2 linked regions of the Caenorhabditis elegans genome follow. The protein of the gene in region 2 purifies or fractionates together with the protein of the main gene of each other region. This does not show direct contact. Each region holds a gene or a part of one and is shown on either strand. Other genes may lie near its edges.

The links.
Region 1: the proteins of par-5 (region 2) and daf-16 purify together in Caenorhabditis elegans (affinity purification with western blotting; 3 studies listed by BioGRID, with this or other methods). This does not show direct contact.

Annotation. Positions count from the first base shown.
Region 1 is NC_003279.8:10,744,224-10,761,240, reverse strand, and holds the start of daf-16 (Forkhead box protein O), read right to left. Parts: upstream 10,744-17,017; coding exon 10,732-10,743; intron 10,679-10,731; exon of another isoform or gene 10,670-10,678; coding exon 10,586-10,669; exon of another isoform or gene 10,536-10,585; intron 10,348-10,535; coding exon 10,257-10,347; intron 10,204-10,256; coding exon 10,053-10,203; intron 8,823-10,052; exon of another isoform or gene 8,684-8,822; intron 8,176-8,683; exon of another isoform or gene 8,029-8,175; intron 4,097-8,028; exon of another isoform or gene 4,038-4,096; intron 1-4,037. Other genes in the region: B0205.4 (L-Fucosyltransferase), read left to right, coding at 16,892-16,907, 16,974-17,017. UniProt on the Caenorhabditis elegans protein: Forkhead-type transcription factor. Binds to the promoters of genes that contain the daf-16/FOXO binding element (DBE), TTGTTTAC, in their regulatory region.
Region 2 is NC_003282.8:11,813,199-11,829,296, reverse strand, and holds par-5 (14-3-3-like protein 1), read left to right. Parts: upstream 1-7,379; 5' UTR 7,380-7,399; coding exon 7,400-7,489; intron 7,490-7,537; coding exon 7,538-7,708; intron 7,709-7,773; coding exon 7,774-7,965; intron 7,966-8,012; coding exon 8,013-8,306; intron 8,307-8,408; 3' UTR 8,409-8,472; intron 8,473-8,516; 3' UTR 8,517-8,791; downstream 8,792-16,098. Other genes in the region: M117.6 (uncharacterized protein), read left to right, coding at 1,185-1,276, 1,326-1,425, 1,476-1,553; M117.3 (14-3-3 domain-containing protein), read right to left, coding at 5,359-5,649, 5,695-5,781; M117.1 (Major facilitator superfamily (MFS) profile domain-containing protein), read right to left, coding at 9,861-10,024, 10,077-10,183, 10,234-10,508, 10,730-11,038, 11,087-11,446, 12,278-12,440, 12,489-12,550, 14,827-14,958. UniProt on the Caenorhabditis elegans protein: Required to modulate lifespan, in concert with hcf-1, acting redundantly with 14-3-3-like protein ftt-2.

The sequences.
Region 1 (17,017 bases), on a different chromosome or scaffold from region 2:
CGAGAAGCCAATCAGAATAAAAATCTATTTGAAGAGGATTATCATCTCGGAAAAGTCAGACTCAAAGTGATAATTGAAGGAAGATAAATGTTTCAGCGGATATGATAATTTCCAATCAAAAACGGATTATTTCTCAAAAATATCGCAGATTATATTAAGTGAGCAATTTCGGAAGATCAACTGATTTGCATTTCCAAAAGGTCACTTTCCCACGAGAATACGGGGTGTACGATATGAGCGGTGACTAGCTTACCGTAACCTACCGTAATCTATAGAAAAAGAGAGAACCTTCGGATTACTATGCAGTTAATTGAATAAAAAAAGCCAAGTACATCCTATCATTGAACCAAGATTACACAATAATTTTCTCTTATTTTGGCAGTTTTTTTCTCCTCAAAAGAATTTTCTGATGAGAGATGATCATCTTAATCGGCGACGTGATGCTTGAGGCCATGATGGTGGTGGTTTTTGAGACGGACACAAAACAACAAGAGAAGAGAAAATGAGTGATAAGAAAATTGAGGAGAGTGTAAATTTTCAACTTGTTCGGCTGCCTATTCTTCACGTTTTTCACAAGTTCTCATGGATAGAAAGAGCACAGGAATAGTGTCGTTTCTCGACAATTGGAAAATTTGGGAATCAAAAAGAATATCGATATATCGAGGAAATCGGCAATTTTTTATCGGGCAGCGGCAGCGGAGACCGACGAAATTTCGCGAACTAGAAGAAGAATAAGATGATGGTGATTGTGGTGGAAAAAGTAAAGGAAGGAAGAGAAAAAGATGAAGAAGAAGAAGAAGCACATGACTGGCGGAGGGAATGACCCGATAATATGGGGAAAAGATGGCATGAATCGTGTTCGGTGCATTTTTGCCACGTCATCAAATAGTTTGCGAGAGCTATCTCCAATTTGCAATGGAAGAATCTCAATTAAAAAAGAAATCATCCTTTCGAGCGACAAGTTCAGTCTATGTACTTCGTGTGCAAAGGCTATAATTAGGTGTACTTGCGGAGGTGCAAGCCAGCCACATAATTATATTATAATATTTGGAAAATGTGAGAAAGATCGACTCGAGTGCAAACTTACAGATTGTCAACTCTTCCAATTTATAGAGAATTATAGAGAATTCGCGGTTTGTAAGATCATGTGCATGCTCCGCCCATAAATTGGTAATCAGAACTTACGAATGACTAAAACTCAAATTTTGGACGTGAATAACTCGAATTAAAAGTACAGTGAACTTAGCGATGCAAGAGGAACACTTTTGTCGCTTGGTTGAACTTTCGAGCTTTTGAAGACTACGGTATTGAGATTCAAAAAATTGAAAAAATTGAATATGATGTTTCAACTTTTGATATTCAAATTCACATCACCGGACTAGAATTTATTGAATCCGAACATTTGCAACACAAGCGAAAGTGTACAAAATAACAAAGTCAGAAAGCTTTGTATTCATGTCAATACATTCGATTTCTAGAGAGCCGACTATTTTTCAGACGCGCTCTATATGCGATGATGTCGACTGACTGAAAATGCCGAGAAATACTGTAGCGACAGAAGAGATGGTGAGCCGAGCTCGTCGAGCAATGCACATGACGATGAAGGCAGTGTGGCGAGCGGAGAAAGGCAAAAACATAGTAGCATTCTATGACTGAAAACGGGAAGAAGGAAGAGGAACGACAGAACGAACCAAAAAAGAGAGAGGAGAAGAGACGGGAACTTGTATGGGGGCTTGCTTCTGAAAGAGCTGAAAGCGGCAGTGAGCGAGCGAGCTGAAAACGAACATATAGACGGAACGTGCGTGTATGAGATAGAAGGCAGAATTGAGAGAATTTCAGAATACTAGAGACGGAATTGCTCAGCCACCATGCTCAGTCAGACGGTGTTCCTTCTTCTTTTTCTTTTTTCTTCGTTTTTTCTGCCTTTTTTCCGTCGTCGTCAGACGACTACTGAAAAAAAAGAAGCGTGTCCCTCTCTCCCGAGACCTAGACCTCGAATGTTTACTCGCCAACACTCCCCCAGCTCCCAGAGCTCTTCGAACGGCTCTAAAAGGGGTAAGAAAAAGGTCTGGAAGTGGTGGTGGGGGAGGGAGGGAGATACGGGGGGCAATCGTCCAAAAAAAGAGAGAAAAAACAGAAAGGAACGGATGGAGGAATGAGAGAGAGGTTGTTGTTGTTGAAAGTGTCTTTGTGCACACAACAACAACAACAAATCAAAAATATGCGTGTTCATTTTCACAGAAAATTAAATAGGGTTAACTGTCTTTGTGCCAAATCTGAAACATTTTCAGCAATGGATCAATCATAGATCAATGTACGTGAACTTCATCAATTTTTCAGCACAAGTACAGGTTACCTTATTCTGCTTGTCCTCGTCGAACAACGTAATGGACTGATTGAGAAATAACTTTTGGTCCTTTTCAACATTCCTTGGAAACAGAACTTGCGGGAAAGATCAGAAATTAGATCGATTGATTTGGAGGTAATCAGATGATAGACTGAATGATGGAAGCCAAGGACAAGAACGATGAAAAAAAAAGAGTAGTGTTCTTTTGATGAAGATAAAAAATGAAACCAATCGAAGAAGGTTGATCGCTATTCGAATTTCATTCGATACTCTGCGGCGATTCTCTTCACATTTTACTGCTGATAAAAACTCGTCTTCTAGTTGGTTGTAAAATAAATGATAAGAGCACAGAAAAAGTGATGGAGAAAAGACATAATTTAGCAAAAGTGAAAGGAGATCACGATTTTAAGAAATGTGCACTTTTAAAATTACTGTCGTTATCCGAAAATAAATGAAAATATCCAAAAGTTCCCTAGAACACGATGTCTTTAGTAAAATTGAAAGGAATTCAGCTGAAGACAGTGAGTGGACAGGGAAACACTGAATGATTAAGGAATCGCAAAAAGTTAATTCGAAATAAGTGAAAATCGAATGACATTCGCGTGACATTGCACTTTTGATTGTAAACGATCAGAAAATCCCCAATAGAGAGAAATCAGAGAAAAGGCAGAGAAACTGTCATCGAAAAAAAAAATGGAAGGAGGGAATTGAGTGAGAGTATGATCATTAAGGCGACAAGTGAAGCGACATAGACATTCGTTTTTTTGATAAGAATGATAAGAGCGCAGGACAAGACGAAAAAGATGTAGAATAAGGCGAAGAATAGAGGAAGAAGCAGCGTTTAGAGAGTTCGAAGTGGTCACTTCGCTTCGCTTCGAATTATGTGCACACTTTGATTAGTGAGCCCTGGTCATTGATTATCAACTGATGAAGATTATTTCCAGATTTTCAGGGAAATGCCAAAAAAGTGACTGTTTCAGTAAAATGTTCTTCGCATTAATTTAGAGCATAAAATCTATATCCTACAGTAACCTTGGATGCCGTAAACTCAAAATGGGAGAAAACGACCGACATACGCAGAGGTAAAAAGGGATGACAAGAAGAAACCCGAGCATTTCCAATTTCAATCGAGGTTTTGAAGATTTTCAAACCACAAATTTTTCTAACAAAGTTCTACCAAATTGATAAATTTAGATCAAAATGGATTCATAATCTGATAGCTCATATAATATTGACTCAACTAAGGATTAGCCAAGTAGAGGGTGGGGGATTTGTTGCATGAGAAGATTTTTCAGAACATTTCAGAGGATTTGGAGGAAAAAGTCGAGGAGATATAAGCCCTGATATTGAACTAATGCGCTTTGAGCAGAAAATGAGATTTACGCTAATAGGATTGCATTAAATGGTACGTGCACGAGAAATGTAGGAAAAAAGAAGAAAAAGCGAAGATCCAAAACCTAAAAATCACTGTGCTATATGGAATTTCTCCAAATTTTTTCGTCGTCCTGTGGGGAGAAGAGTGAGATCAAACTGCGGTGGCGGGGGTCGCGCGCCGCGCTATGGTCACACTGACATTGTGCGGTAAAAATCGCGAGTAGAATGGGGGAAAAAACGAAGAAGTGTTCGACTGACTGACACAAGAAGAGAAAAAAAAGAGAACCGCGGCGACAAGGGATAGAGAGAGGGAGACGGGGCGCCGGGCGGCCGTTAGGCCATTGGCGTGGCAAATGCAACACGGAGAAAACGATGGAGTAGTTAGAGGAGCGGCGGCGGCGGCATGGAATGGGCAGAGAACTGTCGAATAGTATAGAGAAATTGGAGTCGCAGCGTGAGAGAAATGGTTGGAAAATGGAAAGGAGAGGCACACGAGACATGGGGCGCGGCGTCGGCAATGTAGAAGATGAAAATTTAGGATGAATGAATGGATGAGAAGGACAGAATTCTGAATTTCCTTTCCAAAAATCATTCGATCTCACGGTCAGTTTCATTATTAGATTTGATGAAAAAAGGTTTTTTCCAGGTGAAATTGTTTCTGAGAAATCTCAAAATACAGGTGGTATTGCATGACATCTCCACCTCCCATGAGCGTGCCAAACTCTTGAAAATTCAAATGCCTCTAGGAAATATAAGGGTAAAAGTGCATCTGAATCAACAAGAAACACAAGCTTTCCAAGAAAAAGAGATGCTCAAGTTGAATTCAAATTCTTCTCGTTTCCCTAAAAGACTAGTCTCATAACTAATTACACTCCTCTTCCTCTTTTGCTCCAACGTCTTCTTCATCCTCATTCTGCCTCCTACTCTTCCGTCGTCGGCTCTCTTCCAAACGCCCTCACTTTCCCAGATTACTGGGACACGACGTCTTCATCACTCTACGCTGCTTCGTTAACTTAAAGAAGAGCACTAGAAAAAAGAAAATGAAGAAGAATAAGCAGCAGTGGCAAGAATAAGAAGTGAGGAAATGAGTGAAGAGTGTTGCTCTTTTTTTTTCTCACTTTACTTACTGTGATTAGCCCCTCGTATGGAGATTCTTGAGTTGATGAAGCAGAGGAAGATCATCTGATTCCAGTGACCATCCATGATGAACAACTTGTTCCGGAGATGCTCAATGATCTCTTTTGGATCTTCGAGTTTTAAGGCATCGCCTAGTGTTTTAGAGATCATGCAAAGGATTATCTCAAAATGAGCTGCAAATGCGGCTCAAAAGTTTCAATGAAATAACGGAGGAACGTATGAGGGCTGTAGAGATACAGTAATCGGATACTTTAAATTCCGTTTCCATTAGGATCTCAAGTCTAGAACCGCCGCCGCTGAATGACCTCAAAGACAGACAAGACTATCTAAAAGGTAAGAAAAATTGTTGGGAAAAAAGTGAAGAACTTTACTGCAATGTCATTTGATGGACACTGCTACCAGTAAAAACAAGTTCCATCTCTCTATCTCTCTCCTCATTCATTCCTTCTTTTCCATCGTCCTTTTCAAGTATTGCGTCGTCCACGGAGGGGTGCGAACGAATCGAAGTTAAGAATCAGATCTTTTCTATTCGTTCCGACAGGCAATGTGGGTGGCGGCGGCGGCAAAAAGTTTGCAGTTACCATAAAGATTTATGCCAGATCGTCGAGTAGTAGAAAGGGAAGCGGGAAGAGAGAAGATCTTTCGATTATCAGCAGGTGACCCATTAAATATTGTTTTACGAGGGGAGGTATTGCAGTTTTAGTTTTACGAGTACGGTACTTGAAAGTTCTGGTAACAGATGCTCAAATTTCGAAGCCGTAAACTTATCTAACACCGAACACCACAATAATTGAAAGGCTCAAAAACAAATGAACCCAATCATTTGGTTTCTATTCGTGTGAGCGGTCCTTCTTCGTTTCAGTTAGTTGATGGTAATCCGACACCTCTGGCTTCTGAAGTCTGCACACACACACACAATCGTCAAAACAACTCTATTCGTTTACTCAATTTCAGTTTCTCTGTTTCCAATTCGCCACAAAAGACAAGAAAAACGACGAGAATGAGGAACAAATGTAGAGAATAGTGGGAGACACCAGACTATTCCAGGAAATGAAATTCACCAAAGATTCGAGGAAAATCAAATGAACTTTCTTTTTTTTTCGTAGGTGACCTTTTTTGTGTACATAATCTAGATGATGGAACCATTCACATGAAAAACAAAAAAGCGAAGAGCAACAGAACCATGGCATTTGAAATGCAATACTTCCACCATTTTCAGATGGAATGGATAGTGTGTGTGACTCATGACTCACATCGTCTGGAATTCCAATCAGCTCACTCTTTTTTTCCAGCTCTATCCGTCTCGGAATCTCCAGAATCGAAAATTCGAGATGTGAGAAAGAGTGAAGAGGAACAGACATTTCAGCTGCTCATGTGACATGGGACCTCTAGAAAAGCAAGGGCGTCAAGCGTTAACGGCGTCTCAAAGTGTTCACTTGGTTTCCTAGAGTATACCAAAAGATGGGCTCTGGGGTCTGAGCTTTTTAAACTTTCAAGAAGCTCGAATAAAAATAGAAGAAAGTGCGTTGACTGACGAACAACGAAAAGCTACATGTTTCATAGAACATGATGGTGTGGAATGGATTTCTCATAGAATGAAAATATATTGAAAACTCGATGTGATCATACTCATCAGAAGGAAGGAAGAAGCATGAGCAACATGAAGTAGATGATCTTAATCCTTTCATCCTCTCATCATTAACGTCATCATAGATTTCACGTTGACATTAATCAGTGGGGAAAAGCTGGAAGGAGTGAATGGAAGATTACGGAGAAAGCTTATAACATCAGAAGAACGTGGGAGTCACGTGGTTCCGTGAACTATCAACTTTTTAAGCTCGATGAGTTTCAGATAATCCAATTTACAGAATCCTCAAAGAAGCGAACACTAAGGTGATAAACATTTTGTTAATCTTTATCCGATGTGCCCATCATCAAATCTGTTGAATGATTTGAGCAAAAAAAAGACGAATCACATGCTCATTTCATCAGTGTTAGAAAATAAGGTGATCGTTGAGAGACGAAGGCAATCGGAGAAATAGTTGAGCACAGATCGGAACCGATAGCATTGATAGATCTGTGTGTGTGGGATCCAAGAGGTTTAGGGCTCAGTGAGCAGTAAGAAGGATATTGTTGAAACAACTGATAAAGAAGATTACAGTATTCTAGGATACATTTTCATATAATTTTCTTCTTATCTCAGATGGCTAGATGGAAAATTCGAGACTAGAAACTTGAAGAAGACTGATAAAACTATTCCTTCTTATATTCTCGAGGCACGTAGACATCTAGACACTCGGCAAAAAAACCTCCAGGGAGGAAAAAAGTACATCGGTATTCCCATTTGGTCTCGTTTTTCGATTCTCTTCACAAAAATCGAGAGGAGACATCGCGAATCGAACACGGGGGAAACCGGTTTTCATTTGCAGAGACAAAAAAGGGAAAGAGATAACGATGGCGACGACGACAGGGGAAAAATGTTGCGAGAGTAGCGATGTTGGACAAGTTGCTGCAATATTTTGCACTGAATCGCGAAAAAATTTGGTTAGGATTTCCCTTTTTGTGATGAATTCATTATATGAATAACGTCATTGGAAGACTTTCCGACAAAAGAAATTTTTTTTTTGAAAAAAAAAGCGTTCCAAAATTCCGAAAAAAGCGAACTTCATGTTCCCCGTTTTCACTTTTATTGGGTTGTTTTTCAGACAGACACATGCCAATACCATTTGTGTGTAAAGTGATGGGTTAAAAAGTCAACAATGATTGCGGGGAATTTTTTCGTTGTTGTTGGTTTCAACAATATTTGAATTCCAAAAAAAAAGGACCAAAAACTATAAGAGCAATGTATAACAAGAGTTTCATCGGAGTAACAAGAAACGGGAGTGTGCGGGGAGAAACAGAGAGAGGGCAATAACAAAAGTGCAAAACCAAGAGAGAGTCTAGTTCAAGTGCGTTATTAGTTAGCAGAAACCTAAAGATTTTTCGTGGGAGGGGCTTTTTACAGTAATTTCAGATTATCACATCATCTAGTTTACGCCTAGAACTCTGACCTTTGAAACTGTTTTTTTAATAATTTATTTTCAAAACAGAATATACAACGTCACTTGCCGTTTTTGTTCTTTTTTGATTTTTTACATGAGAAAGAAAAATCGGTGTCAACGCGTCTGACTGACTTTTATCTTTTGCAGCAGGCAATTGATAAAGACGCCTGGCAATGTATGATGAAATGATCAAAGACTGTCAGTATGTTGACAGTCAAAAGGAGCTTGATTATATAGCGCAATGGAGTGGGAAAGATTTCGTGAGAGTACAAAGAACAAATAACTCAATGGTAATTCCGATAAGCTAGATCTAACTGATATTTTTGGCCACCAGATTTTCAGGTCGACTAAAAAAAAGTGAGGTCTCGATCAAATTTCACTGAAAATCAGAGCGTAGGAAGGAAGAAGGACTAAAGGCCAAAACAAACACTTTCACTTTCACCAGAGAGAGGAGGCAGCAAAAAAAATCACAGACAGACCGTGAGTAGAACACACTACTTTTTTTCCTTTTTTTTCGACGCGAGTCTATCCAGACAACGAGACACTGAAATCCAATGGGACGTGTATAGTAGGAAGGCTGAGTGGAATGACAATTAAATTAAAGTACCGTACTGTGTGAAAATGGTCGATATTGTAGAGACTCTTAATTCAAAAAAAATTGGCTTGGGGGCACAAGATCGCCAAAAAAAATATTTTCGATATGATATTCCCATATTTAGAATCAACACTTAATTTTAAGATGTAGAGTTAGTTAAAAATTCCAAATATAAAAAAAGCGACTTTCAGGCGTTGCCTGAAACTTTTCAAGCTTTTTTAATAAAGGTATATGATTTTCCTACATTTCTGTTTTAATTTTTGATTCAAAAAATTTGAAATCATACAGGAATTACCAGTTCTGCCAAAAACCTCCTTATTTCGAAAATTTGAATTTTCTAAAATGGAACCATAATAGGTACTTCGTTTCTGTTCTCTGATTTTCGACCTATCGTCTGTTCTAATCAAAAACCCCGCTACAACAGTGTGCAAAAAGTGCACTTTTCCGTTCTCAAATACCACTTGCTCTCTCCCTTTCTTTCAAATGTTTGCCATTTTGTGCTTCCTTCCCGTAGAGAGAAGAACAGCTGATGTGACAGAACAGAGAGAGAGAGACAGAGAGACTCTGTCTGGCAATACAGTGAGGGAGCAAACGCGTGACAGTTTTCGACCTCTGAACGTCACACCGTATACAATGTTGCACACAATGGTGAGTAATTGTTGAGACGGGCGACGACGGTTTTTAAAAGAAATGGGGTTACTGTAGAGAGAAATTATTTTTAGAACGAAAATACGATTTCTGTCTTTAAAAAAGTTGAATCAGAAACTCATGATATTAAAGTTTGCATCAAATCTAATTTCCAAGCAATCAAAAGAGAAAAGAGAAAATAGAAAACCTAATCACCAGTTGTTTGCAAACTGCAACTCCGCGAGAAAAAAAAAGAGAGAAAAGAGTCAAAAGATCGGGGAAACCCCTTTAAATTCTATTTGCCTCTCCTCCTCACATGCACGTGAATTTCCCGTGTGCTTAGTGGACCAACAGCTGACAATAGGCTTGTTGGCCTATAAAAGACGAAAAAGTGTTAAATGATTAGAAACAAAAAACAACTAAAACAGTGATGACATCAAAGGGTTTTCCCTTAAACAAATCTCGAGGTCAGCAACAATGAGAGAAATCACTTTTGATTGTGCCAACCGATCGGAAATAAAATGGAGAAATTGGAAGAGTAACGAAAAAAAGAAATTTCGATGATCAAAAATCAGAGCGAATGTGACAGATAAAAGATGACGCGACACGACCACAAGAATTGAAAAATCAGAAACAGTAAAAGGTCAGCTGAGACCTAAAATTGAGAAAAATTCAAGGCCATTCGGCATATATATATATATTTCTATATATTTTTTTGTTCTTTTTTAATTTAAACATTTAAAATTTTGAAATTTTGAAATTTTAAAACCGAGGCTTGTTCACAAGCCAAAACTCTTTCAAAAATTGATAAAAAGGGCAAAAATCATCAACTTTTATAGCGTTTGTCCTTTTTCCACGAAACAATGCTTTTAGTGCAATTCGACTTTTATGAACCTTCACAAACCACCTAAAAATCTTAAATTTGGCGTACCTAGTTCTTCCGCTGTCAACAGTCTCTAAAGATGTGTGGAAATACGGAGAGAACGAGCATTTTTCGCGAAGAAATTGTTGAGAATACTGGGTTACTCCGCCAAAAGAAGCCGAACGCTCTTGTTGATGGAGGTCGAGATTGAAGAAATCATCTGAAAAAAAAACAAATAAAATTGGAATTTACAACTTTAAATCACGAATTTACCGTCAAAATCAGTGGAAAAACTCATTCCGGAATCAGGCCTTGCCGGTTCGAGATTGTGCAGTGTGATGTCAGATGGTAGCGGCGAATCGAGCTGAAAACTGGGCAAATTAGACGAAAAAAGCGCGCTTTTTTGATTTTCAACTGTAAAAGCTGTGTAAACTTCCACGATTTCGCACAAAATCGGGTTCAAAACAACTATTTTTAGCAGCGAAATGAAGAAAAATAGGGAAAAATGATTGGAAAAAAATTTCGAAAATTTGAAATTTAAACTGCGAGTATACGGTAGTTCTCGATGTGTGTGCAAGGTGTTTGCGTATGCGGCGCCATACCTCACGACAGTTCCACGCTTGCATGTCCTGTGAGAATTTTTGCAGAAAATTTCGGCACTTCGAGCAATGTAATGAAGACTTTTGCTGCAAATTTTAGTTTGATTTTCAATTTAGAATCATAATTATAAGCAAAAAATGTTAAAAACCTCGAGTTGCATCATTAAAATACAGATAGAAATTGAATAGAAGTTACAATGAGGAAATTAATTTCAAATGAAACGTTTTTATTTTGGATAATTTTGAAATCTTAACTAAAAATGAACATTTCCGACGTCTCGAACTGATAAAAAGAGAGAGAGAAGAAGCTTATTTTGACATAAAATGTGTATAGAGGAAGATTTTTTTGCAAAAAAAAAGTTTCTTATCACAATCCATTTTTGCCCACTTTTCCACCATTTTTTCCATCACATGTTCTCGTCAAATGATGGAAAAGTAAACCGATATGTCTTTCCTTGAGAAATAATATGAAGAAAAAAAAAATAGAAAAGAGGACATTGGGAATGCTTTTTTTTCTCGTTGGTTGGCGGCCGGCGACAGAGGTTTCAGAGATCAACTTCTGAGCGACCCCATGCGAGAGTTGTTTACGAGAAAGTGCAAAACTGTTTTATGAACTTTGAGACGGAAAAGAAAAAGGGGAAACGAAAAAAAGAAGATATAAAGCGAAAAAGCAGCAAGCTCGCCCCAAACGAACTCACTATTAGGAATAAAACATGAGTTTTTTAAAGAGAGGAAATCGTGAGAGAAGATTTTGGTAAAAAAATGATTTCAAGAAAAAAAAATCAGAGTTCGTAAATCTACACTGTGCAAACACCGGAGTTTACGAAAAAGTACAGAAAATATGAAGGTTTCAAATTCAAATTTTTTAATTAAAGAAAGGCGAAAATTTCTTTGAGCTGGAAAAACTTTGGAGAATATATTATATTTTTTCGAAAAAAAAAATATTTTTCTAAAAGTATATAATATTAATTTTGGTTTTTTTTTTCTTTTTTTTTGAGGAAAAATAACAGTTTCTTACGAATTTTTTTCATAAATATAGCAGAAATGTAATTAAAATTCGATTTTTTTTTGTAAATTTCCTTGAAATTCTGTCAATTTTCCTTCTTTTTTTTTGAAGAAACACCTTTTTCTAAACATGTCGTTAACAATAGTTCCAAAAAATTGGATTTTTCTCGTAAAACTTCGAAGCACTTTGGTTATTACGGGAACACAAAGTTTTTAGAATGCGTATTGCAAAACATATTTTACGCGCAAAATATCTCGTAGCGAAAACATGACTACTGTAGCGCTTGTGTCGATTTACGGGCTCGATCTTCGAGATGAATTTTATTAAATCAAAGGATTTCGAACATCGAGCACGTAAATCGACATAAGCGTTAGAGTAGTCAAGTTTTCGCTACGAGACATTCTGCGCGTCAAATATGTTGTGAAATACGCATTCTCACAAGTTTGTGTTCCCGTAATAGAGTTGCCGATTTTTTTTAAAAGTTTTCTAATCTCCAATTTTTGGCAATTTTTTTGCTTTTCAAAGAAATTTTTTTTTCTTTTTTTTCTTTTTTTTTTTTTTTCATAATAAAATTGCGCGTAAAATTAGATGCACTGACTCCACCCCCACCAATAGATCAAACTATACGCGCTAAGTCTTTTCAATCTTTCTAAACAATCTTTTGCTGCATTTTGTAAATAACTGAAAAAGAGCAGAAAACATGCAAAACATAGAAAACACTCATGTTTTTCACAAAAAAATAACTTTTCAAAAAACACGACGAAAACTATTTTCAATTTGCTACGTTCTATTTTCAATTGAAAACGATCAAAAAGTGTCTCTTACATAATCATCTGACGGTTATTTTCGTGGATCATCATCAAAACCCACCTGTCTTTTTCTTCTTCTCCGGGCACAGGAGAAGAAGAGGAAAAGACTTACTGAATTGTGTGTTAAAGTACACTAGACAGAGAAACAAGTCAACAAAAACGGGCGGAGCCACACATAGATGCCTCGTCATTCACGTGCGACCCTTCTTGCGCCCCGCTCGCTCTCTTTCTCCAAAAAGTGATCGCTTAAAATAAGAGATCACAATTGTGGCGGCGGGCGCCAATGTTCCCGCCGGTTGCCCTGTGATCTCCGAAATTCAAACCATGAAACTCTTTTCCATTCTTTTTTGTGTATGTCTGTTTCAAATTGTTAACAGAAAATGTGATAAGGTATCGGTGTATGATCCACTAGAAGGGTCTCCCCATATGAATATAATGTGAACCTATGTTTTTTTGCAAATTTAGTTTGAATTGTTGGGGAATGGGTATCATGTGCCTTTTCGTCTGCAAAATGGGTCTAGACGAATCGAAAAAAGAAGAGAGATACACTCTCTAGCAGATGGGCCTTCCCCCCACTGAATTTCAAATTTAGCAGGTGACCGTTGAGATGTACTGGGCCCGTTTTTTTTTCGAATAGAGGAAGTGAGGGATGGCTTTCGGGAGATAAACAGATGTTTTCACTACGGTGATGCACATTTGCTCTACCGATATTACGGAAACAAACAATTCTATTAATGCGTATTGCGCAATATATTTGACGCGCAAAATATCTCGTAGCGAAAATCACTGTAAATGACTACTGTAGCTCTTGTGTCGATTTACGGGCTCGATTTTCAAATTTAAATTTAAAAAATTTCGAAGGAAAGTGAAAAAAAAAGTTTGTTCTCGCAGTTCGAAAATATATTTATTTCAAAAATCGAGCCCGTAAATCGACACAAAGCGCTACAGTAGGTATATAAAGGGTTACTGTAGTTTTCGCTATGAGATATTTTGCGCGTCAAATTTGCTGCATTCTCAGAATTTAGTGTTTCCGTAATAAAAAAACGAGAGAAATAGGGGAAAATTTAAAGATATGCATGAAGTACGGTAGTTGAAAATTTTTGAGCATGTCAGGACCGAAAAGTTTAAGAAATCTTTTCTCTTATTAACTAGAGTTCCAGAAAAAAATTTTTTTAATGAAACTATACTGTAGTTTTCATAAAACTACTGTAAAACTGTCAACTGGCAAGACCACCACGGAAGAGCCAAGATATTGCACTAAAAGGATTTTTCTATTATGTTGTGAAACTTGAAAGAAAGAGATTCTGGTCACTGGTGTTTGAGGCTTGAACACAATTTTTGCAACAAAAATCTCCTGCTCACCAAGAGAACGATTCGTAAAAGAATTGAAATGTTCAGTTCTTGAAAAAATTTTCAGAGAAAAAGAAATGGAATCGGGAGAGTCAACCCTCTTATCAACTAGAAATGAATTGCAAAAGAGACAAATCGGGAATTCGAAAATAAGTTTGAAACATATTTTTTGCGTCAACACTTTAATTCGAAAGTTCACATCGTTATCACTTTTCTAGGGGCACTTTTCGAGCCGTCTCTCTTTTTGAATTTCTATCACCAAAGGTAATTGCTTTGGAGAATTTGAATTTTAAGTTTATCGTGACGAGACCCATTATTTTACCTTTTTTGGAAGAATTTATATTAGAATTTAAAAAAACCTCCAAAATCCCAAAAATTCTGAACATTGGCCAAGCACATTAATGTCGTCTTGGGGTCAGAGATTTTAGTGTGCTCAAAAATTGAGAATATCTCTGTCATTTTTTTCTTGAGCTCTGGTTTCTCAAGAGAACATTAAATTATAAAAAATTGCGTGGTTAATATGTATCACGAGAATTGCTTCTTTTATGGATTCGAAACATTTTCTTGTGATCTTTAAGCTACGGCATTTAATATAGTAAGTTTATGAAATCATTGGTCATCTTAAAACATTTTTGAAAACAGGAAAAAAATTTAAAATTATCTGCCTGCCACGTGCCTACTGCAAAGTGTATGCCTGAATAATTTTTTGCAGTTCTACTATTTCCTATGAAATCAATAAGAAACTATAGTCTTCTTTATACAATTTCTTGGAAATCAAATATTTTTCTCCTACTTTTTATGTTTTCCAATGTCCGACCGCGCCGGCCAAAAAAGATGCACTTTGCCGTAGAATGAAAAATCAGAAAATTGGCCTTGACAAATAAAATCTGCTGGCGGCGGAGAATCTATGGGGTCAGCGAGTTTATGAGTACGGCAGAATGCGGCAAGAAAACAAGAATAATGTCAGAAAGTACACTGCAATTGGAACAAGGCCGCAAAATTATTGTATTTTCATGTAAACAAAAGTTTGAGAAAGATGATTTTGTTTGAATTTGAGTGAAAAATGGGGTGATTGGTAGCAGGGGCATATTTTCGGCAGAAGTACAAAAGTACCTATTTCAGTAAAATTTATATAAAACTGTCGAAAGAGGTCTGGTCAATCTGAAAATAATATTTATTTTTGTTAAAAACTCGAAAAGTACCTTGCCTAAAAGTTGGCGTTAAATTTATTCCGGCAAACGGCAACTTTAAACTTGAAAATTTATTTCAAAACCTTTTTTTTGGAGGTAGAGTTGGGTTTTCGTTTCAAAAAAAAATTTGAAAATGTTTTATTCACTGTTAAAAAGTGACAATTGCTCAGTTTTTGCTACTCATAATTTTGGAAGTCGACCAAAAAAAATTTCCTACACTTTTAATACTGTTATTTATTTTGTTTTAATTACTAGTATTAAAACATTCAAAGTTTTGGCAGTTTGCCAAAACTTTGACCGGAAATTATGAAAAATCTAAGTTCTTTGAAGTATAATAGACAAAAGCCCTACTGGGTCTACTCCACCTTTAAAATTAAATTCTGAAATTCCTCTAAAAATTTTTAAACCCAAAAAATAAACTAAATTGAAATCTATTTTAAATCGTCAAGAACCAGTAAAACCGTCATCACTCGAGAAATACCAAAAACCAAAAATTTCCAGTCAAAAGCCACACTTTGAATTTGAAATCGAAGGAGCAAGAGGGCAAAACAAATAAACAGTTCAGTATATTGTCACTGGCATCTCTCATTTCTTCCTCTTCTTCTTCTCAGTATTTACTTATTTTGAGACATTTTTTTGTGTACCCCTCCCAGAAACAGACACCTCGCCCTCTACCACCATCACAGACTATTTTTGTTTTTTGACCGCGTTACTATAAAATAAATAAATAAAGACATCTGGGTCTTGGCACGAAACTGGGAAGAAAAAAACCTTGGCTCTTTGTTTTTTCATACGAAAACTTTCACTTTACTGTTGCGGAAGGCAAACATATGGGAAGAGGAGACCGATGGGGATTCGATTTCAATTTCAGGAAATAACAATTTATTTTGGTTTCAATCAGTCTGGGAATACTATGAGAGCTGTGGAACAATTGTACATTCCATCCGGTGAGGCGAACTGGTGGCGCCTTTCGCCTGCCTCACTTCCACAATGTTAATGGAGACGCATTCTGGGCGATGGAAAAGGTCTTGTTGTTTAATAAATATTGTAGAGTTGGTGGGAAAATTTCAAAAAAAATGAATCAATCACCTAAATTTATAATTTAATTCTTATATTTTTTGAAATTGGAATACGGTAGTAATTTTATCTCTTTGTAGATAGGCGCTGTGAAGAGGGACAAAAACTCAATTTACCGTACTCCTATCTACATTCTACAACAATTTTTGAAGGAAAAATAAATGGGCGAGGATTTCCAGCTCTCAAATCTGAATAGTACATTTACTCCTGAAATTTAATAGGTTTTTTAATGTTGTAGAACAATTGATTTTATTTGCCTTCTTACAAATGTTTATTTGTTGCAGTTGTCCTCAAAAACTAACATGGCTAATATTGAAAAATTCTTACAGAAAAATAATAATTTTTCTCCAAAAAAACATTTTTGAAAAAATTGAAGAAACATTAAATTATAAAACTTATAAAAGTTATAAAACTATTTAGTATTTTATTATGTTTTTAAAACAAAAAAATTTAATAATTATAACCAGTATTTTTTCTTTATTGGATTTCAGACATTTAAAGTTAATTCGGTGTGTTTCCAGTTTAAGAGAGTAGGCTTTTAAAAAAAAATTCTAAAAAAATATTAATGATATTATTTAATAAAAACCAAAATCATTCCCATACAATTGTCTTTCTTTTTAAAAAAAACATTTCCATCTCGAATGACTGTTTTTCAGCTTTCCAAAATTTTAAGAGATATCTCTAATCAATACACAAGATTATGTTATCACCTCGAAACCTTTTCTTTTGTTCATCTAAATGTACTGATCCATATGACGGAAAACAAGAGAAATGACCTAGAAAAACTCTCACTCTTACTTATTTTCCCCTTTTTCGTTCTACGTCTCCAGAACTTCTACGATAATAAGTGACAAAAATTCATAACTCTCCAATTAATATGACTAGATTTTCAGGTAATTATATTGATTAAAAAATAGATTCTTAAAGTATATATACAAATTTAATTGTCTATGTTTCAGTAACTCGCTCCTTGTATCATTCAATATTTATTGGATTATGTGTC
Region 2 (16,098 bases):
CAAAAAAGTCAGGCTGAGCACGATAAAAATTACTCAAAAACTCAAAAAAAAAAAAACGAAAAAGTGGGTGGTACTAAATTCTGGACAACTGGGGACGGAAAATCCAGAGAAAGAAAATCCGGAGCAACTTAAGATTTTGTTGAGATAAGAATTGCGAAAAATCTAAATTCATCCAAAAGCTTAATCAGTAAGTTCCAAAATGTTCAGACCGAAAAAATGATAAAAATGTTTGTGAAACTTACAAAAAACAGTGTCCATTGTTTGTAGAACATGTTTTTTAGCGTTTTCGGGTAGCAACAGAAGTGGGAAGTTAGATAGAACCATGATTTTGGAGTCGCAGGTAGAACTGAAAATATTTGTTCAAGTTAGTCTGAAAAATAACTGAAAATACACTAGCAGACAGAGAAAGAGAGAGGGATTTTTTAAGAGTAACAAAGACTATTATTGGATAAAAAGAGCAAATGGTTTAGTATCGATTTGACGTTGTGAATGGCTACATTGGCCATTAACTGTGTATAGCCATCCCTGTCAGATTGACCCTATGCCTTAGATTCCTATCGAGACACACCTGCTCTTTCTACTCTGCATTTCCAGAAATAAGTACATACAAATTATTGTGAGACCTGTTCAACTAACAATAAATCAATTCAATTGTATTTTTCAATTGGTTCATAGGACCTATATAGGACTAAGACTTGGAAAAGTAAGAGAAAAAAGTTTATTTATTTCTTCTCAAATATTCAAAATTTCAAAAAACAATCAATCACAAACAAAAATCAACATATCAAACAAACAATTGAATAGTGGAGGAGGAAGCAACAAATTAAGATGACCAATTGGAACAAGTCCGTGTTTTGGTAGAATGCAACTACTATCTTTCTGAAAAAACCGTCATTCTCAGATAAATCGAACCACGCAGGCACCGCTCCAAACCACGCAGGTGACTGCCCACCACGCAGGCAACGCGTCAAGACCACGCATGCAACCAAAAGCACGCAGGTGACGCCTAAGAACCACGCAGGCGACTTGACGGTGTGCAGCTATTGGCAGTGGCTGCAAAACCACGCAGGTGACGCCTACATACCATGCAGGCAGCCAACGCTCAGCCACGCGCGGGATTCCTAGGCCAATGGCTGCGTACTCCTCTTGAACAACTTTTTCTTCTATTTTTTTTTCCTAATTTAATGGAATTTTCCGTTTTTTTTCTTGCAAAAAGCACTTTTATATTAATTTTCAATGTCTTCATGAAACTCAATAATTGTTTTCAGGTTTTCAGGTATCAGTAAGCTATTCTTGGCCATATTTTTTTAAACAAAAATTTTCAGGCGTTTTTTACAATATTCTACATGCTGTAGCCGGATTCGAAGGACAGTTCCCGAGTGCGGATTTTGGCGATGTTTTCTCCCGACAGGTGGATCAAAAATGGTAAACACCCTTCTATCAATTTGTATTTCCAAAAATCAATAATATTGCAGCTTGAACGCACGGAAAAAGATGAGCCAGGAAAAGGACACACCATCGCACTGATCACTGGGACGAAAACAACTGCCTAATGGACTTTATTTTGCTTCCCACCCTTTTTTTGTTGTTATTTTTGAGATTTTCGTTGTTAGAATATTGTAATTATTCATCAATTCGTTTTTTGTTTGATTTTATTAGGAATTTCATCACAATAGTCAGTTTTCTGTACATTTCGTGACTTTTTTGGTGTTTTTTTTGTTTTTTAGTTAATAAATAAACAATATTTTTGAAAAACAATCGTAATTTGCGTTTTAGTTGGTTAAACGGTAGGAAGGGGAAGGAGCGGGCTGCGAACTGCCATTGCTGCAAGACCACGCAGGCGTCGCCTCCAAACCACGCAGGCAACGCGTTGAAACCACGCAGGGACTGGCATTCTTGAGCGTGGTTTGTACGCGTTGCCTGCGTGGTTTGGAGCGGCGCCTGCGTGGTTCGATTTATCTCAGTTGACGTAACCCAAAAGAAAGAAAAAGAGAAGCACATGCATACCTAACGAATATTAAGTTTTCAAACAAGCAACCTATAAAAGACTAGGAATTGCGGGATTTCCCAAACTTCTTTAACTTTAAATTTAACATAAAAAATTAAACATCGGAAAATTATTGGCGTGCGTGGGATGTGTATTTGTGTGGGAAGTGCCGCGTGTCAAAACACCGTTTCGGCCAAAGGGCTCATCAGATTGCCGAGGTGATTAAGATCGCACCTTATGGGGAAACATTACAAATTTTGGGTCAAATTGAAGGAAATTTATTCAGCTATCAGTAATCGTTAGAAAAATGTACGTATGACTTGGCAGCCGCGCGAAAAGCTCATGTAAAAGAGCGCTTCACGTGTTACCATACTTTTGGCGCACCCTGTATAAACTGTCATGTGGAACGTGGCTTATTTTTTATTTTGTTTTTTATTCAAGCTCCTCCCATTCCTGACATTTCGTTGAAATTTTCATTGATTAGTTTATTTAAAAAAATGGGAGGAGCTTAAATAACAAACAAAATAAAAAATAAGCCACGTTTCACATGACAGTATATTTTGATAATATTTCTGTTTCAAAAAGCAAAACAAAAAATTAATGATAGTAATATTCGGGAGTATGGGTGCGAATTCCTCGAAAAAAAACAATGAAATTGGAGATTTTGCAGAAGAGAGCTAGGAAGAAAAGAGGAAGAGAAGGAGGAGAACGCGGGGAACGGTTGGGAAAAAATGGGCAAAAATCGACAGAAAATAGGACGAGAAAAAAATGCAATAAAAAAGTTTGAAATGGAGTGGGAAAGGGACTTTTTCGTTTTCGCGTTTTCGTTTTTTCGTTATTTTCGGGGTTTTGACGAAAACGAATTTTTTCGTTTTCGTTTTCGAAAGTGTTCGAAAAACGAAAATAGAACGACTTTATTTAAACTTGGTTTTTTCTCATTTTTTTTTGGAACTATCGCCGAAATTTTGCTCTCCGGTGTGGATAGTATTGAAAAATCAATTATTTTCTCCTCAAACTTATTACTGAAGATCAACTTTAAGAACAAAAAATGCAACAGTTCTCAGTTTTGGATAAAAATTAAACGACTCTTTTACGTCAAAATAGATTCATTCATTTTATGACAGGACGTTTCCTTGTTCAAACGATTTGTTAATTGGTCATTAAAACATACTTTTTTCCGCTGAGTTATATATAGGATGTAGAACTTAATGCCTTTTTCGAAAATAAGGATTCTACTGTAGCTCAATTTTTAATCTGAAATCGTGTTTTGAACATTTTAATTAAAGAAATAACAAATTAGGCACTTTTTGACTAATATCTGATTACCGTATATTCTCTATCAGTGCTGCATGTAACACTAATTTCCAGGCGCTTTTCGAATCCAGCACTATTAGAGACTGCAGTACTACTGGAGATGCAGCACTAATAAAGAATATATGGTAATTTGTGAAAAGTTTTCGAATAAAAAGTTTGAAAAAATTTCGACATCGGAAATTGTTTTCAAAACAAAAAAAAAACAAAAATTTTTAAGTATCATCAAAAATTTCTTACTATTAGATATTGCAGAAAAAAGTTGTATTTCCTGCTTGAATAAATTTCTAGCCAAATTCAATACTTTCGGTAAGGCAGCCCAACATTCTTTGGAGCTCTGAACAAAGAAACGTCCTATCATATTATTTACATATGCATCTTTTTTGAAAAAGTGAGTTAATGAGCAAAGTAAGTCAATGAGAGAGAATTAAATAAGTATTTGCCAACAAAAAAGCTTTTGAGGCAACATATGGTCTAAAAACCGTAAGTACAGTTTGTGCCATTTTCGTTTTCGTTTTCGTTTTCGTGTTTTAAAACGAAAATTTTCGTTTTCGTTTTCGAAAATGGAATTTCGAAAAAGTCCCAGCCCTGGTGGGAAAATGGGAAGATAAATATGAAGAAATGATTTGCCCCAAAAGATTTGGAAAATGATACTGTTCTAAAATTATATTTTTTCGAAATTTTTTTATTCGCAAAATTAAATTTTTGAATTGCCACTAGGGCTCACAGTGGTGAAGGTACACTCAAAACTTAGCAAATGACACTGTTTTTTTAGATGTCTTTTTTTAGATTTTCTAATGAAAACCATTTAGTGAAAAAGTTAGTTATCTATTCAGTTGAGGAATTAATAACTCAAAGTGATTCTGGGATGTATATACAATACTGCTGCATTTCTCACAACTTTATCTCGACCACCAATTTTTTTTGATGAAAAACCATCAACTAAAAAGTTGTACTTCAGATTAAAATAATCAACTTTGTAGTTGACAACTTTGCCATAAAATTTTTTCCACGGAGATGTAAGCATCCAAAGTGAACTCGATTTTGGAACATGTTCAACTATACCTCAGGTTTTTGACTGAAATTGTGTTCTGAACATCCAAAGTTTTTTTCAGAAAATTTAAATTTCCCGCCAAAATGTTTTTTATTCAGAAAATTTAAGTTTCCCGCCAAAAAAGTATTCTTCAGAAAAGTTGAATTTCCCGCCAAAATGTTTTTTAGAAAATTTGAATTTCCCGCTAAAATGACTTTTTCAGAAAATTTAAACTTCCCGCCAAAATTATTCTCAGGAAATTTGAATTTTTCGCCAGAAGGTCTCACCACGATGTGTCTACAGTATAAAATCTACAGTAATCCTACAGTACTCCTACAGTACCTCTACAGTACCTCTACAGTACTACTACAGCACCCCGACCATGTCACTCCATTAACCCTAAACCAATATCCCTTTACCAACCGTGGACCGCACCTCCGGCGCGGCCCCCGACTTCTGGAGCTGAAAAGTAATTTTTCTGAAACTACCGTAATCATACAGTACTCCTACCGTATCACTATTGTAATACTACAGTACTCCGATTATATCTGTACACTAACCCCAACTCACAATCCCTCCAGAAGCTAAAACTTCGCAGACTATAAAGACTACATACAAACTATGAACAAACGGAATAAGCGCTTTGTATATATAGTAAATGATAATCCAAAACTTTGCACACTACAAAGCCTGCATACACTACAAACTCCGGAGTCCGGACAGACTAACTGTATTTTTTTAAAATATAAGCAATAATGATGCTGAGCATCAAAGGGATTGAGCCATCGTTAGGGATTGAGCGTTCAAGTGAAGGAGCACGCTAGTAAATGAGGGTTTGCCCCGAACCGACGCCACCCACCGAAGAAGACGACCTGGACTTCAAGTCCTCTCCACCCTCATTACCACCATCACTCGCTCCTACTTCAAAAAATGAATGCGTTTCAGCATATTCCCTTGTTTTCTCAAGAAAAAATCATAAGAAACATGTTTTTTCACTGCGAAAAAAAATTGAATATCCAGAAAAATTTCAATTATCAGCCTCTTCTCCTTCTTTTCCGTCGACACGCTGCTCGTGAGTACTCTTCAATAGATCGTAAAGTGTACGAGCACGTTTCAAGTTCGAGATATCGTACGAATCCAGTGAGCTCTTCATCTTCTCCAATTCGCGATGAGCACTATCAAGAGCACTCTGTGCAATTTCGTTGGCTTCTTTGGGAAGATTCAGGACATCGAAGTTTAAGGCGCTTGCATTGAGGGCAAGTCCAAGGCGAATTGGGTGAGTTGGCTGCATCTTGTCCTTAGCGATACCAAGAGCCTCCTGAAAGTCATTTCATTTACATCAAGAATTTAGTTATTCAAATACCTGATAAGCGATTCGCGACTTGTGTGCATGCTCTTCTCTGTTGATATCGTCGTATTGGACCAGATACCTAAAATGGTCGGCGACCATGCCACCGAAGAGAGCCTTAGTTTCATCATTTAGCGCATAGTCTCAAGCCAAACAGGCGGGGCAGTTCAAAAATAGTTTGATATATAGTTTGATATAGTTTGATGAATAGTGGCGTGGAGTACGGTTTCGCGGCAATTCAAATACTACTATTCTTGAGACCAGACGAATCGGACGATTAACGGCGGCGAGGGATTCGGATCGGGGGAACCCAATCTGTGGGACGGGCCACGCCCACGATCAAATTTTGCAACCTCCGCACGGTTCTATGGGCGTGGCCAATCCCCCGATGTCAACAAATTTTAAAAAAAACCTTCCCCGATTTTATAAATATTTCAGCTTGAAATCGCGATGTTCATTTGCGAACTCGAGGCATTTTCGAAACGTTAAATGTTCCCGCGCAATAATGCTCCGCTGAACAGTGCACGCTTTTTGTGTAGATTCATTTAAATATTCATTTTCCGTCAGATTTCATGTAGAAACCCAAAGATTCGCTCATTTCGCTGCTCGATCTTTTCTTTTTCTTCATTCAACCGTATATTATATGCATTTTTCGTTTAAACGTTTTTCAAAAATTTTTAAAAATTGCTTACAATCTTCTTTGTAAAAAGAATATATTTTGCAACCAATTTTTTCGATTCTCCATGGAAAACTTATCAATTTAAACTGCATTCACTGTTACACTGATAATGCTTTGAACGACGGCGGTCGGAGAACTTCCAACCGATTACTGTTCTCCAATTTCATGTTTCTAGAAAAAAAGAAATTTCTGTCGTTTCATAACATGTTTTAACACGCAGAGCCTTTTTTTTTCGAATGAACCGCCATTTTCTTTAAAGGCGCAAGCTATTCCCTCTGCGCGATATTTCGCCGCGAAAAAAGAAGCCCCGCGAAAAAACGTATTCGAACCGCGGAATTTCCGCGAATTTGTTGCTGGTTTCTTCTAGAATTCAACGATTCAATGCTCATTTCATCACAATTTTTTTTTGTAAAATTATCCTTCTCGCTTTTATGCTCCTCTTGCCCTCAATTTTCTGTCTAAAAGCTATCATTTCCTCTGATTTCTTCCTCGATTTTCAAATGTTGGCCCAAAATAGTGATTTTTTCTTTAATTATATCCTAATCCCCACCAACACGATTTAGCAATTCTCGAAAATTATTTTTTTGCGTTGTTCAGGTAAAAGTCCTGACGAAACCTCCTGAGTTTTGTGTAACGTGCTCACCGAAAGATTAGTGTGCTTGCTGCGCCCGTTGTCACCACTGCCATTCATCCTTCTATTCCCGTGTTTTCTTATCAAATGCCCAAAAAATCTGAAATTTTTTGTGTAGACAATGCTATATATGAGGAGCGAATGTGTGCGCCAGAGAAAAAGACGGACAGACACAAATTGAGTGAGTGTGCGTTGCCCACTTTAGTTGTTGTCATGCGACGGCGGCGGCACGCGCTCTCTCATCGGCCGGCACTGCTGTCCATCGATTTTTCTTCTTTCAAACGTCGTGCGGGCTGTTTCGAATGTTCTAGGGCTCTCCGTTTCGATTATTACTCTCGCCTATGTTCTTCTCTTTTCGTTCTCAATATTTCATTATAAATTTTGTTTCAGAAGACTTGCTCACTGAAAAAATGTCCGATACCGTGGAAGAGCTCGTTCAACGCGCCAAGCTTGCCGAACAAGCCGAGCGATACGATGATATGGCTGCCGCCATGAAGAAAGTAAGATAAAACATCATTTACGGAGGTTTCAAATTTACTATTTTTCAGGTGACCGAGCAGGGACAGGAGCTTTCCAACGAAGAGCGTAACCTTCTCTCTGTTGCCTACAAAAACGTCGTCGGAGCTCGCCGTTCATCGTGGAGAGTTATCTCTTCCATTGAGCAAAAGACCGAGGGATCCGAGAAGAAGCAACAACTCGCCAAGGAATACCGCGTCAAGGTAACTACACCAAGCAAGATTTTATTAATTTCAAGAATTTTAGTAACTTATTTACATTATTTCAGGTTGAGCAAGAACTCAACGACATCTGCCAAGATGTGCTCAAGCTCCTCGACGAGTTCCTCATTGTCAAGGCTGGAGCTGCTGAGTCGAAGGTCTTCTATCTCAAGATGAAAGGAGATTACTACAGATACCTCGCCGAGGTCGCTTCAGAGGATCGCGCTGCCGTTGTTGAGAAGTCCCAGAAGGCTTACCAGGTATTTGAAAATAACTAAATTCTTGATGTAAATGGCATGACTTTCAGGAGGCTCTTGATATCGCTAAGGACAAGATGCAGCCAACCCACCCAATTCGCCTTGGACTTGCCCTCAACTTCTCTGTCTTCTACTACGAGATCTTGAACACTCCAGAGCACGCTTGCCAACTCGCGAAACAGGCTTTCGATGATGCTATTGCTGAGCTCGACACGTTGAACGAGGATTCGTACAAGGACTCGACCTTGATCATGCAACTTCTACGTGACAATCTCACTCTCTGGACATCTGACGTTGGAGCTGAAGATCAAGAGCAGGAGGGAAACCAGGAAGCTGGAAACTAAGTACGATTTCAAAATGTTTTATTGCCATTATATAAAGCTGACCTTTTTCCTCTTTTCCTTTCACATCAAATCTTGCTTCGAAAAAATAGTTTCGGTTTTCAGAGAGCTGAACTCCGTTCTCTTTCCTCGCATCTCTTCAACTTTCAGTTATCCTCCAACATTTCCGGTACGTTAGCCGAGAGAGTTGCCTAATCACCGTTTTTGTTTTAGACTTAACGTATTCACCAATACTCCATACAACACTGCGCAATAGCATCATGAAAGAAAATTCGGTCTTCAAGTGCTCTAGATCTCCAAGCCATAATTCTCTTCATGCTCTATTTCGCTGTAATTCACTCCGTCACTATTGTCATTCCTAAAATGGCGTATTGTTCTATGATTATTATGTGCTGTAAAGTATAATGAACCCCCATCTTCCATTTTTCTCTTATTATCCCCGATCTTTATTTTTAGATCTTTTTGAACATAAATGTTTGGTGAACTTTTCCGGTTGTCCGAATTTCATCACAACTTTCCAGGAGTTTTTCGAGTAATGGAATGGAATTTATTTTCAGATTTCGATGAAGGAGCATAAATAGGATAAAACATTTGCATTAACCTCTTAGAAGGTCTCAACACGAAAAATTAAATGAAATGTGAAAAAGTGTGCGCCTTTAAGCTGCCGAAAATTTTTTGATAGTTTCTTCCACGATTCGTTAAAAATTAAGTGTTTTATGGTAACATTTGAGTGTTCTTTTGAAAATAAATATATTCTTTGTCGAAAAACTATGAAACATCGATAAAAATTCCGCAGCAATAGAAGTTTAAAATTACAGTACTCTTTAAAGACTCACACCTTTTTGCGTTCAACAAATATTAGACGTGTCGAGACTAAGTACCGTACTTTTGGCGCAAAAAGCTCAAAATTTCGCTCCTGGGCAATATAATTTTCGGAAAAAAACTTAATTCTGGAGACTTCATGTGTTTTCACAGATCATGACGAGACCGATTGAGAAACATTTGGAAATACATTTTTCTTCAATATATCTTCAAAGTGGCCGATTGTATGTGATCATACGGAATAACGATGGATGTGTTTTGTGCTTTTCGGCAGATTTCGAGCTTTTGAGCCAACAATTTTCAGCGTTGTGGATGAAAAAACATGTCACGTTGTTTAATCAATTTAAAATCTTTAAAATGTAATGACTATTTTTATGGACTGCGCAGTTGCCCCATGTTGAAAAAAGATGTCAATTGCAATTACATTTTATTTTCCGTATAAGTTAAATTCAATAACCCAAAGTTCAAAAAAGTACTATTTATGAGTATTATCACGTGGTGTCAGAATGTCCCATGTCGGTTTGAACTTCGAAATATGCGGGAGTTGAGACGTAGACTGACGTCACATTTTTCTGAGAAAAAGTTATCCGCATTTTTGTAGATCATACCGTTATGGGGCAACCTGACACCACGTGTCTTATTCGAGATCCATATTTGAGTGAACACCCGGATAAGCTGGTAATCGTCTTTTCTTTTCAATTATGTGAACACTGATATGAATAATTTATTAAATAATTAATTGATTGAAGTTTCGCAGGGAAGCTGAGGCTTGCTGAGCTCTAATTCAGCGTTCAACACAAAGTCGGCTGGTTCTGAACGAGCTAGGAGAACATAGACTGTGTTGGCTACTGTAAGTGTTAAAGCATGGATCAGGAAGTAGCTGGTCCATGAGAGTTCAGCTGAAAGTGTTGAAAAAGGTTTAGTTTAGAAAGAGAATGAATTGATACTTACAATCTTCACTTCCCGGAAGCACAAGAAGAGAAAAAAGAACAGGTTCGAGCAGTGTTGCTAACGATTTGAACAATTGAATATACCCGATGACAAAGTAAGAGAATTGTCTGAAAATGTTCATTCTTGAAATTTCAAATTAATTTTTAAATCGCCTTACCTTGATATCAAAGCGGCGCCCTTATAGAATCCTCCACAATTGAACCCGAATGAAGCCTGATAGAAAGTGATGCAGATGACGTGTAGATATGGATGCTCGCGTGGCAGCAAGACTACGAGCATGAGAAAAAACGCGGGTACTTGCAATGAGATCGTGTTGAATAACCGCAACTTTGACTTTTCCGGCAGTGTACGAATACGATCGGACGCGATACCGGCGAATACTCGAACACCGATGAATAGATAACCTTTCATGGAATTCAGCCATGCATTAGCCTGGAAATTCACAAAATTGAGGGCAAATATCGGTGCAATATCGGTCTTTATTGCAATTTCGTGAAATTTTGACATGGCACTTTAAAGGCACACGCTGTTTTTCTCAGTGGGTCTCGCCACGCTCTCAACCATTGTAGTCGCTACAGGTACCAAATGTCATAGAATTGTTCATTGGATGTGGAAAATTAAGTTTGCCCCGACGTGCCTGAACACAAATTTACCTGAATATCCATTCCGAGGTATTGATAGTATTGTGCACCATATACAAGAAATACAAAACTGGCAAAAATATCGGCGAACCCGGCAACCCACACGGCCCAAACTGACTTGTCGGTGAGAACTTCTCGATACGGAGTCTTTTTTGTCTTATCTCTCTTGGTTCCTCCACCAATGTGTTGAAGCTCGTGATGTGTCATTAGGCAATGATCTTCCGGATCGTCACGATAGAACAAGAACCAGATGATTGTTGAGATGAAGAGAATTATTGAGAGAATATAATAGATAGGTCGCCAGCCAACATTTGATGTTGTCTGAAATATTATGAATTTTAAATATACCGTCTCAGTGCAATAACCTACCCATCCTGCCAGTGGCAACTGAATTACAGCTCTTGCCGCAGTGAATCCACTCAACGCAGCCAGTGACATTCCTACTTCTTTGATAGGCGACCACTTTGAGCACACGTATCCGACAACTCCAAAGTCAGCAGAGTAGAGGATTCCTTGGAATATCCTGAATACAAGTGCTACATGGTAGTTCGTGTCAAGAGCCCATGGCATGAAGGCAGTGACGACGGCACAGAGCAAACTGGCAAATGTGAGGACAAGACGGGGTCCATATTTTTGCATTAGCACATTCTGAGGATACATTCCAATGAGTGAACCAATTGCCATCGCTGAGATCAGACTGGACTTCTCTTCTAATGTGTAGATGTAGATCTGAAAATTTATTGTTGATGCTAAGGTTCAAAAATGTTACGCCTGAGTTTTATGGGCTAGAAGACCTGATTTAATGTCTAAGAACCAGAGTTATGCGGACCATTTTTGAGTGAAACTTTTCATGTAAATTTAGAAAAACACTGATGAATAATTTGACAAATTTCAAGACTAAATGTAAGTTTCTCTAAAATTCTCCAAAAGTTGCTATACGGCAAGGCACATTTCGATCAGCATATTGCGACGTTGACACAGATTTTGAATAACTTGTAAAGTGTACTACTACGTTTATATAGGGCTTCCATGGCTTGCCTCAAGCCGGCATGAAGAAAAAGTTAAGATGTGTTCTAGTAGAAGACATGGGTAAAGGCGGTAAGCAGTCGGAGGTCGCCTTAACGTCCGTCAGGAAGGCGTTTTGGCGCCTACATGGAAGCCCTGCGTTTTTAAACCAAAGTTCACCTAAAAACATCGTCTTTAAATTGTTCGAAAAAAATACTCCGCGCGGATTTTCTAGAACGTAAAAGTATAGAACTTTAATCTCAGAGCAACTGTTGCAAGACTTGACCTAATCAAAAATAGCTCTTGATCTATCGTGACCTCTCTTCCCCCACTTGCAAAACTTTCTAAGAGCAACTGACCTTTCTATCGAAAGGCACTGCCCCGATTTCAATCCATCATATCTTTTTTGTGGTCCATTTTTCTTTCATTTTTCTTCCCCGTTTCTACTAATGTCTTTTTATTCTACTGGTCTCATGACGACAGACGGGGGCGGTCATGCCACCAGGAAGAAAAAACTTTCAAAAAAAAATCGTTCAAAAAACCCAAAAAACTCACGTCATCTAGACCTGCTTCTGCAGCAATTGTCGAGTTCTTTTCCATATAAACCATTGAAAAAGAGAAGACGTCGACACAGTTCATAACACTTCCTAACTGTAACCATGTGAGTATAAAAATAACCCATCTGATTCGATGCTTCATGGATAGATTCCATCGGAATCTGAAATTGAGTTATTAAATCTGAAAATAGTTTAAAATTCTATAATACCTGTGGCATCTCATCTCAAGGTTTCCGAGTAGTATAGGTGATGTGTTCGGCACCGAACTGTTCTGAAAAAAAGTTGAAAGTTTATCACATTTTGTATGAATTTTTTGTCGCAGTGCATAACATTTTAAGCCGCCTTTACATTTACTTTGTCATCAGGACAAAATGGAAAGCGGACGAGTGGAAAAGAACGGATAGAATCACCATTTGTTTCATACTTTCCAGAAAAAACAATTCTTATTGTTACGGTTGACTTTTGATGCTCAGAGGCGTTTCCTATATTGAGCAAAAAAAAAAGAAACATCAAAAGGAACCGAAACTTTTATTAGTTTTAAAAAATGAACTCTGGTAAAAAATGACTTGGAATTTAATAAAGTTATATTAGTTTTGAATGTGGAATTTATTGAAAAAATTCAGATTTTAGTTGGCAACTTCTGGAGAAACTTGTTCTGTCGAGGCGTGATGGGGCACCTCTCACCTGCCTCTTGCCTATAGGCAAGAGGCAGGTATACGTTTATCACGTTAGAGGATACGTTAGAGTATACGTTAGAGAAGTAATTGTTTTAGAACACTCTAAGGTGAAAACTTTTCAGATAATTTTTATTTTCTGTCTGACAATTCGTTTTTTTTGTTTTGAATAAATTTGGAGTTTTCAAATTTTTATATATAATAGTTTAAAACAATTTCACTGAAATTGGCAATTTCTTAAAATTGTGTTGAAAAAAAGTATCCCAAAGACAGTAGGCGTAAAAGTGCTTATCTGCCTCAAAGGTCGCCTACAAACGGAATGTGTAAACTAAAATGTGTCTAATAGGCGGTAGGTAGGCACGAAGGCAGTTAGGCCGGAAAACGTGCCAGCCTACCAATAAACCCTTACTGCAGCAATCTAATAACCTTATTTGACTTTCAGAAAACATAATCTGAAACTGAATCAGTGGGAAAAAAACTTTGATTAGCCGCGAAAAATGAGTTATTTTTGTCTGTCCAGCGCGGAAATGTCTGGCATAATAATCACATTATGATCAGATTTTCAGATATGTACAGGTGAAGAAAAAGGTTTAGATCATAATAATAATACTAATACTAATATCACCCACACACCTTTCCTACAAATAATTACGAGATTGTAAACGCGGAGAGCACAAATCTCGGAGTTTTTAATTAGAAGGTTTTTGGAATATGAACTTTGGTTTGTGTACCCATTATCATATAATTAAACATTTGAAGAACGAAGATATCTCACGGAAAAGGAATGTTAAGGGAGAAAGTTCAAAAGGTGAATAAAGCTTTCCACAATCGTTGCCTTTTCTCATTGACCAATTATCAACTTTACGTCTTTTTGTTCAAAAAATGGGATGGCAGGCGCCGGGGCTCCCTTCTGTTATTTTTTTGTGTCCTGGAGCCATACCATTGTGTAAAGTGCGCTCTGTCGAGAAGAAGTGAATAAGATTTTATTGCTTGCCATTTTTCATATGAAACTGGCAGGTGACGGAAAGTTGACTTTGGCTTTTTTCTTCATTTTGGATCTCGTTTTGGATCTGGAGAGGTTACTGTAGTTATGTATTTGTTTGCATTCAAAGTTCGTCTAATAAATTCCCGTAATGTGCTAAAGAAAACAGTTTGAAATAAGACGAACAAAGAGAATAATGGGTATTCAAAAGAAATACGCAAAAGCTATCTCATAAAATCTAACGAGTTCCCTCAAGTGTTCATTTTTCCTCCAAAATGTACTTCCGCTTTCAAATTTTGAAAACGGCCTATGCAAAAGTTCCCGGAGAATGGAAAATTGAGCGCATTTCGTGAGAATACGGTATCAAAAAAATATATTCAATTAGAGATATTGTAACCTTGAATTAAGTATAAAAAATTATTTTGAAGAAATTTGCAATTGATGGTTATACAAATAATTCTAGTCTAGCTTTGAAGGTTTTCTAGTTTAACTTCACCAGGTAAGTCTACCTGCTTACCTTACTTCAAGGCGGCCTACGCCTGCCTATTCTCATGTTTAATTTTTTTTAATTTTAAGGCAATCTTTCATCAAATGACTTATGCACACCGACACCCAACATCAGAGCTTACAAGGAAAATTGGTAGCAGGCAGGGACTGTTGCCTGAAAACCTACCCGAAGCTGTGTGGGGTTTTTACGGTGCTTTTGCAGTAATTTTACATGATTTACAGAATACATGCTTTTTAGCTTGTTGAAATAACTAGGTACCGCTTTTGAAATTCCGGAAAATCTGGAACGATTCGCCAGTCTTTCTTCCAGCTTTTACTTCCAAAATATTTTTTTGATATATTTTAAAATGAAATTTCCTCCCAATCATCATAAATCCTGCTCACCTGACTATCGGCATAAAGTGCATCGAACTCATTGGGATTGTCCTTATCACCGCTGGATCCTCCACCACCACTTCCACCGGCCGCGTCTCGTACGCCGACGACGACGCTTCGATTACTGATGCGGCCGCTCATTGTGGCGCCATTTTACATGTTACGGATGACGAACGTCTTCTGCTACTTGATGATTTTTCGATGACTAATTGTATTTAATATTTCACGATGCACTGAAATTTTTGAGTTGAGTTGAAAGGTAAATGTGTGAAAGTGTGAGGATAAGTATTTAGAGTATGAGAGTGGAAAAACGAGAAATTGTTGAGAATGACATAGACGCAGGATGACTGAGAAACAAGTGTCCTATTGTCAGAAGGGCGTGGTCGGGTTCGGCGGCTTTTTCTTCCCCTTAACACACTATTTTCCCGCATTCTCGTGGCGTGTTTCTGCGCTAGCAGGAATTTGTGTCCTTTATCCTCCCACCCCATTGAAGAACACCTTTCTTTCTAACAATAATAATAAGCCCCGAGAGCATTTACAGGCTCAAAAAATAAAGAATTCATTCGTCTAATTTGTCACGTATACACACACATTAGTATGAATGACGACGATGCCAATTGTGGGAGTTTTTTATTCGCGCACAGATCGTTGACGATGCTCACTGGCTATGGATGGAGCTGGAAATGGAGAAATAAAGAAAGTGAGAGGCATAGTAAGGGATAAAGAAACGAGAAGAGTTGCAAACGAAATTCAAAAAAAGGCCAGAGAGAGACAGAGAAAAATTCCTTGGAATATAAGTTAGCCAACGAACCACCACGTTGAACAAAAAAGGGGGATTCAAAAAGAATGAGCAACAATGGACAGAGCACAAACCACATGTTGAACACGTTTCGCGTGATCCTTGAATTTCAAAATATTCAGACAAATTATTTAAAGTTTCTAGTAAGGTTGTGTAATAATGAGATAAATCATCGGAAGGTGCATATTTCCTGTAACAGAACTGCACTCCCCACTTTATTTTGAAGAGGCATAACTAGGCCCATTTAGAAGATAATATTAAATAGTTTACTGCAAACAATTTCATTCATTTCTGTTTTGTGCTTAGACGATTCTCTTGCGGGATGAGTCTAATTATATTTATTGATTTTTTTTCTTCTCAATAAATGAACATATATATATAAACAATAGAAAAATAAATGAAAAATGTTTTGTCTGTTGAAAATTTTTGAATACCACAAAGAACAACTGAGATAAAACCCCTTCAAAGTGAAAAGGTGCAAA